Linked DNA regions of Drosophila melanogaster. The protein of the gene in region 1 interacts with the protein of each later gene in a pairwise test. Each region holds a gene or a part of one and is shown on either strand. Other genes may lie near its edges.

Region 1 (3,363 bases):
AAGAAGTCACGTTTTAACACCTCCATTTCGCTGAGCAGCTTTACCAATTCCTCGTTGTCTTCACCCTTAACGGCGGTCCTCTCGCACATGGTGGCATTACTGAAGGAGATATCCTCCAATCCTGTCGAGTTCGCTATGGCCATAACATCTAGTTTGGAGAACTCAACACTCTGCTCCTTGCACAGCGATTGAATGCTGTGACTGGACACAGAACCCTCGGTCGAATGCTGCATCCTATAGCGTTCCTGCTGGTACTGATCCACCTTCCGCCGCTCGGTGCTCAGGGATTGCCGAGCATCGCTCAGAAGTTGACTCAGTTCCTCGCAGCGGGCTTCCAGGACTTCCGTGTTGGTGGTCAGCGTCTTAATCTGCTTCTTGTCCCGATTCTTCTCCAGATTTAGCCGCTGATTGGCACGCTCCAGATCCTGAATGCCCACTTCCAGCTGCTCGTAGACCTTAAGCCGTGAATCATTCACCTCGGTCATCGCATTAATGTGCTTGCGCAGATGCAAGATCTCCAGTTCCTGCTCATCCCCCTTAATCTTGTACTCCTTGATGAAGGTTTCCAGCTCCTTATTGCGTTCCAGGAGCGTTTTTCCCAGCTCTGCTGCCAATTGTAGGTCATCGAGCATGAACTGCGATACGTTTTCACAGCCAGCCGAACCGTGATTGGATTCCTCCATCTTGGACTTGGACCTTTCTAAGCTTGGGCTTGATGCGAACTCTGGCGAAAATTTAAAGATTTAATCGATTTTAGTTCATTTAGCAGCAGAGCTTTGTGAGCAAAGCAAAACTCAAACAGTAATTACTTGGCAAATGTCCTCTCAATGGTGGAAAACTGCTACAACAGTAACTTTTTTACTGTTTCATCCCCAAAAACAAAAAGTATGGTATTGCAGCGAGTGCAGAAAAAGCCCTACGTACTAGGGCGCAACTGCATGTACGAATAGTTAATTAATGCTTTTTATTATACACAATCGACCTGCAGACAAAGAACCGAAATGAACTTCCTAGCAGAACCGGAAATAAATTTATAATAGGATTATTCGCATTAGGGGGATTCCTGCTCAGATAGGGCTATGATTTAAGCTCGCCTTTCTTATATAACCCCTCGCGAGTTGTTTGGGGAAACCTTGTTGGATTCTGAAATACCAGCAAAATGCACGGATGTATAATTATATTTTTGAGCTTTCATTGTCTTTGAAAGAAGCATGCAATATCATAATAGATCAGTACATGAATACCCATATTAATTATTACGCATATTTATAGTTGTCAAAATTAATAAATCCAAATTGTTATGTCTCCTTAGTAATTCCTTTGCTCACAGAAGCAAAATATTTGTTTGAACATTATTAATTTAAGTTACCCTAGAATTTGGCGTATTTAAAGTTCAGATACCATCTAAGTTTAAATATATCTAGGAAGTGCAACCGATAATGTGTGGGGTGTTAAAAATAAATATATATATTAATTATACAAATATTTAAGATAAGTAATTATTTGACGCTACCTTATCGCAACGATAGCTTGGCTTTAATTACCAACCACCGCCTGGTCACACTAAGCGGCCGGCGTTCTTGTTTTGATTTTGTGTTTCTTCCTTTTCTTAATTCGAGGACAGTATGAGCCCCCCGCCATGCTGGACGCTCTAATTCGGGCAGCGGAGCTTGTGGATCTGGTCCTGCTGCGTCCGCTGGCCAGCGTGATTGATGCAGTGATTACTGGCGTGTACTACTTCCTGTGGGGCAGCTACCTCGTCGGCTTCTGTTTGGTGGAGGGCAGCAGGAAAGGATGGAATCTGTTGAGATGCGCGGTCAGGAATATCAACGAGGGCATCCGCGACTTGGGCCTCATCACGCTAGATGTGGCGGACTACTTCTACGGCGGCACCAAAGGCGGGCTCAAGAATGTACTCGATTTTGGTCACTGCATATCCCGATTCATCTGCAACTTACTCATCGATCTGGGTGATGGCATCTTGTGGCTGCTGATGCTGCTGCCGAGGGCCATACTATTCCTCTGGGACTGCCTCCTAGACTTTGTGGTGCACTCAATCGTGGCCCATGGCTTGAGCTTGCTGAACAGTGCGTTCCGGGCCTCGATAGGATTGGCCCTGCTCCTCGTTCTCTATATGTTCCGCCGCTATGTGTACCTGATGCTCATCTACCTGCTGCAACGTGGACGCATTGAAATCTCGACGAAGACGCAAAGCGTTTACCTATGGACCCATCATAAATTGCAACACTTCATACACAATGTTTGGTATGTGTCAGAGAACGCAGGATCCGCGAGTCCAGAACGCTGTGTCGTGTGCATGGCTCAAAGCAGGAACGTAGTAGTCATGCCATGCCGGCACCTCTGCCTCTGCAAAGAGTGCTCCCTGCAGCTCGTGCTCCTTTTAGAAGACCGCTGTCCTGTCTGCAGGCACAACATTACGTCGTTCCTGTCAGTTTACGTTTGATATATAAGACTGCCAATTGGAATTTAACTTATAAGTAATTATGATTCTCAGAAGTTAACCAAATGTCTTTGGTTAAGACACTTGTAATAGAAAAAACAAATAATCTTTACAAAGCAGAACAGACAAAACATTTTAATGCAGCTTTCAATTCCCAGACACCTAAAATATCAAGTAAAACAAGTTAAATTGTTTTATGTATTTATTTCAAACCAATGAAAATATACGATTTGTTTTGTATACATTTATGTAAATACGGTTTGGTTTTGCGTATAACTAATTTGCTCAAAAGACAGATATAGAAAAAACGTTTGTTTTGGGCTTACATCGTTTAAGTATATATAATTAAAGATTAAATCGAAATGAAATGATTCGCTTTGCTTGTTATCGTATTGCAGAGTTAATTGAATTGCAAGTTATAGTTCTTCCATCATAACACTTATATGATTTGGGTTCTTAACTGGTAAATGAAACGATCAAATAAGAGTAAATTACACAACTGGCAATATAGCATTGGTAGTACCGATGTCTATCAGATAGACATTTGTGATAGCGTCTATAGGTTTCACCTCTCTTTCTGCTTTCTGCATTTCTAGTAGTAGGCGCATAAGTGGGCTGGATATACATAGCTAATGTACATACATAGCTTAGGTTATCTATTGTGTGGTTGGGGGTGTAGTGGGAAATAGCGCCCGATGTACCGATTGACGCTCTTATTACGAATAACATTATCTTGCGAAGGACGTCTAATTATGCTATATAAATTTAATTTGTGCCAATTTCTTCTGTTGCTTTTCAATTTGTTGTATAAAGCTTTATGCGCTGCATCTAGCTTAATTCTATCCGTTACATAGTAAAATATATATGTATGTTAGTGTGTATATGTATATCCTTTAATAGCA
Region 2 (4,635 bases), on another chromosome or scaffold:
AACTTTTTCACGACACTCACGACTGAGAAATCTGTGCAGTTTTATGCAACTTTTATGACACCAGCCGAGGACGAAAAAACTTTTTACGACTTGCAGTGCCAAAGAACAAACACCAGACCTTCTCGAGCTGCGCCTGATGCGTAAAGTCAACAAAAAGTAACGAACGAACTACTACGAACTACTACTACCCTAAGGAACCGAGTGAGGGATTTAACAAAAAAAAAGTCCATCCACCTCTGCACACTGAATGTGTGTGCAAAAAAAAAAGTGCTGGCAGGAGAAAAACCTGAAATAGACAATGCACAAAGTATGCACAGGATCCTGTTCGTGTCAGAATCAAAGATATCCAACTTAGAACAGGACGACATTCGCTGTACGGAGCAAATAAAAAAATTAGTAAGGATTTGACACGCTGGAGATGGTGAACAAATATTTCACATATCTCTGTTTCAGAGGAAAGTTAAACAACTGCTGGTAAGTACACTTTTCAGTCCAGTTGGAAGCCATATTAAATGAAAATTAAATTTTTAAATAATATATACATTATTTATATTTTTTCAAATTATAATTGCAAAATAGAAAATAAACTAATGCTAACTGCGCAAACGGAAGTTGCACGAAAGTTGTTTGAAAATTTCGCGCAATATTTTCACACAAATGCATACAATGTACGAAAAATATGGCATGTAATATTTTTTTTTTACATGACTGACTATTTTGAATACCATTCAGCGTATAAATTGCAACCTTAAACGTTTACAGAGAGAGGGGGATGTGCGGGGAAAAGTGACCCAGAGAGTTGGGCCTCTGGCCCCATTATCGATGCCACTCATCCTAATGACATGATGCAAATTAAGCCCCCAACTTCTGCCGCCAGCCAACATGACCCCCAATGCTCCAGCCAGCAGTCAAAAGCATTGCACAGTCACGTGCGGCAGCTGGCCAACAGCGGTGCCTGTCAGCCAGTGGAGCCTAATGTAGTAAGCCCCCAATACAGTTCACCTCCCTGTAACCCCTGTAACGCTCCCTCACTACCACAACCAACACCAACTCCTCCCACCACCCACTTTACCTCCCGGTGCACTGAAAAAATATTCATAGGGAGATAATGTGACAAATTATAAGCAAGATGATTATATTTTATGTTAAAGTAAAAGTATCAAAGTCTATGATTTAAATAAAGATAAAAATAAAAAACATCTTTTAAATATTTTCTTATAAAACTAACCATAAGTTTACTTATCATACCACCACCAAAAAATTCTAAACTTCTATCTAAGAATTTCATAGAAAGAGAATCTTTCGTCACCTTTTTTTTCTCTGTGTGCGAATGCAGTGCACGTGTTGCAGAAGTTTCGGTTAACGGTTATTAAATGCAGTTTTTGCAGTTTGACAACAAAATGCAGTCGCCAAAAGTGCAAAGTGCAGATGGTGGAGACCGGCACGGCCAGGCCAAGAAAGCCACAGAGAGTGAGAGAGATGGGGAGAGTATAGTTGGGAAAGAGCCCGAAGAGTCGATAGTGAGGATTGAGTTGGCCAAGAGCGCAACCGGTTCGAGACGCGTTTTAGACCAGTTTAGACCACTCTCACAGGTGCTGGAACATTGTCGCAACTCTCGAGCGATCAGTTTGAGCCGTGATCGCAACGCGTTCGCTTCGATTTTTCCCACCGGACCACGGTGCATTTTGCAATCTCCGCGATTGCCAAACAAACAAAACAAAGTTTTACTCCAACGAAAAAAAAAAAAAAAAATCTGAGATAAATAACGCGCAGCAAAAGCAACTATTTTTAGCGGATTACGTGAGTGTCATTTGAATTTTTTCGACGTGAAGTATACGCCCGATCTGTTGGCGAGAAAAATAAGAAAAAGAAAAGAACAAACAGAGTGCTGGCCAAATTTGCTCGCCATCTGTATGTGTCTGTGTCTAAGCCAAAGTGTGTGCGAGTGTGTTTGTGTGTGTATTTGTGTGTTGGCCAGCTCCAAAACCTGCTGCTATTATTAGCCTTAGCCAAGATTATGGGCGATTTCATTATGGCGCTGCAATTTGCTGTGCCGCCGCAAAAAGCGAAACAAAAATGTAAAACAGTGCCTGGGCCAAGAAGATTTGAGCCGAGTTAGACGAGTTCCGATGTCTTGGCCATTGTGTTTAGGCCGCCTCGCACCGACCGATTCGAGCCAACTTGCGAGAAGCTGCAACGCCTTTCATTCATTCATTCATGGCGGCGCTGGCGATTATATCATTCCGTGTATTAATGTGTTGGCTGCCATTTTGGTCAGAACTAGTAAAGGTTTTTGGCCCACACACACACACACACGCGCACAAGCACATTTGCAAAGCGTCAGCGGCGACGATGTCATCGCCTTCATATTTCCAATTTACATTAATATTTTTCTCCACACAACCAAATCACATTGGCAATGTTTGTTTTCTCGATTTTCGGTGCAGCAGCAGCCAAGTGAAGTGTAATGAAATGTGTACAGCGGCCAAAAACTAACAACCTGTCGCATTGGCTGGCAAAAAGCGTTAACAATAAATAAGCGAAACAATACCAACAGCACGGCCAGTTCAACTGTATAACAATGAGGAGAGAAGGTAAGCCAGTTTTTGTATTTTTATTTATTTTGTAGCCCACAACCATGCCGCGGAATACATTCCCATATCTCTATATATGTATATATGTATATGAAGGGAAGTTGTGTGGATGCATAGACGAGAATACAGAGAGAAAAATCCAAGGACACATGTCTCATATCTAAATTAGATCATCTGAACATAAGCTAAACTCACTTGAGAATATAAATTACAATCAAATTAAAACGAAGTGCTTAAACTTTTAAGTGTGTTCAATACTACTACAATATGTTTAATGATTTCGTTTTTAAATGACTTAGGATCAAGCTGATTTATAACTAAATATTAAAATTCATCTAGTATTTTCATCTTATTGTAGTATTTTTCGGGCACATCAATTTTTCCAGTGCATGCTCAACTCGCTTATTTGCCAACAATTTGCTTTTTGGCGCAGTGTAATTGCATTTCGAGCATCTTAAGACTGCCATCCACCTTCAGTTTCAATTTCCGCAAAACGTTGAACCGAACTCAGCTTTTGCCTTTGCGTGGGTGGGTGATTCCATTGATTACGCACCGGTTGACCCTGAAAGTATCAGCCAAATGTTGGCTGGTACACTGGCCTTATATGAGCACGATTTTCGGTCTTTTGTCGTTCAGTTTGTTCGCCTTTCGATGGCCGCAGGAGGAGTGCTTATGTCATTTGTCAACGGACCAAAAATGATACTCGCTACCGAAATCCGTTGGAAATTCGAGTGAAAAGGCCACTCTTTGGTCATTTGGCAGCAAGACTGCAATCTGGGGAATTGCCTTTAGGCGATAGTGAGACCAGTACAAATGCCAATACCAAATGGATCAATGAGTGAAATTTAATGTGCTTATATGCATTTCATTTATTGCTTTCACTTTTCGCCCGAATGTGACAATCGTGATGGCAAAAGGCATATCGAGGAAATGCTTTGACATAAGCCCTTATCCAACCAGTATTATCATTAAGCTAGGAAAAGCGTTTTCAATGGGCTTATCTATATGGTGTATCTGCAGCTCCCATAGTTACCATAGTTCAGATATGAGAGTAAAAACCCCCCATGTAACTAACCCACTGTGCATAACAGAACTTGCTTTTGGTTTTGGTTTTGCTTGTTCAGTTGGTTGGATTTTTCTTCGGCACTATTTCTTCGTGTCTTCGCCGTTGGCCATGTTTATGCTTAAAAGCCAGCCATGCTTAGCACGCTGGCCATCCAATAAAAGTTGCAGCTAGAAATTCAAAACCAACGCCAGCGGCCAAGTGTTTCTAGTTTTTCTCTTAGCCCCCTTGTTTTTTTTTTTCTTTTGGTTTGATGACAATGTTTTGATAATAATGATAATTTTCTGTGTCTCTTATTGTGCTGGGGTTTTTTTTTCGTTTTTATTTTTTATTTTTGGTTTGGGGTCAACATGAAGTTATGAGTTTCGTGATTGCGCCGAATTCGGTAACAATTAGAGTTTTGGCAAAGATAGCTTTTCAGCTATCAGCTAAAAACCGATGCTCATGGTCAGCAGCGTAATTCGCAAGATACAGGGAAAGTTACGTAATCCTGCTGCGGCTGTTGCGGTTCAGCGCAGACAGGTTTTAAACGGCCAATTTGCAGCTGCACACGGTGCGTATACGTGTTAAGCGAGAAACTAGCGATTCATTGACTCCAAGCCACAGTAAAATTTAACCGAAGAGGGTATATACCCAAATGTATATATGCAAAATACTCATCAGAAAACACAAATCAATCAAAGCTAATCACTTTCGGCACGTTGGTTATATAAAGTCAAGTTACTATACACAAATATGCAAAAAAAAATAAATCAACTCCCAGCTTTCGCAGTCTTACTCATTTTTCGATGTTTGCGTGTGAATCGGAAAGACAACTAAAAACTGAACCTAAAAACCAAACCAACTATTATGCAGGTACGAATTATCCAACCAACTGCAACTTTCATCTGACATTTGAGGCGACTGCATGCAATTGAAATCTGCAAACCAACAGATGACTTGGTGATGGTGATGTCATCATCACATATATGTAATTAA

The links. Proteins that work in one complex are often made in the same cells at the same time.
Region 2: the proteins of CG2617 (region 1) and CG14830 interact in a two-hybrid assay, tested with the Drosophila melanogaster proteins (one large-scale study listed by BioGRID).

Annotation. Positions count from the first base shown.
Region 1 is NT_033779.5:20,680,810-20,684,172, forward strand, and holds CG2617 (uncharacterized protein), read left to right. Parts: upstream 1-1,558; 5' UTR 1,559-1,639; coding exon 1,640-2,464; 3' UTR 2,465-2,820; downstream 2,821-3,363. Other genes in the region: Cen (centrocortin), read right to left, coding at 1-683.
Region 2 is NT_037436.4:7,260,908-7,265,542, reverse strand, and holds the start of CG14830 (uncharacterized protein), read left to right. Parts: upstream 1-1,622; 5' UTR 1,623-1,800; exon of another isoform or gene 1,801-1,911; intron 1,912-2,447; 5' UTR 2,448-2,594; intron 2,595-4,635.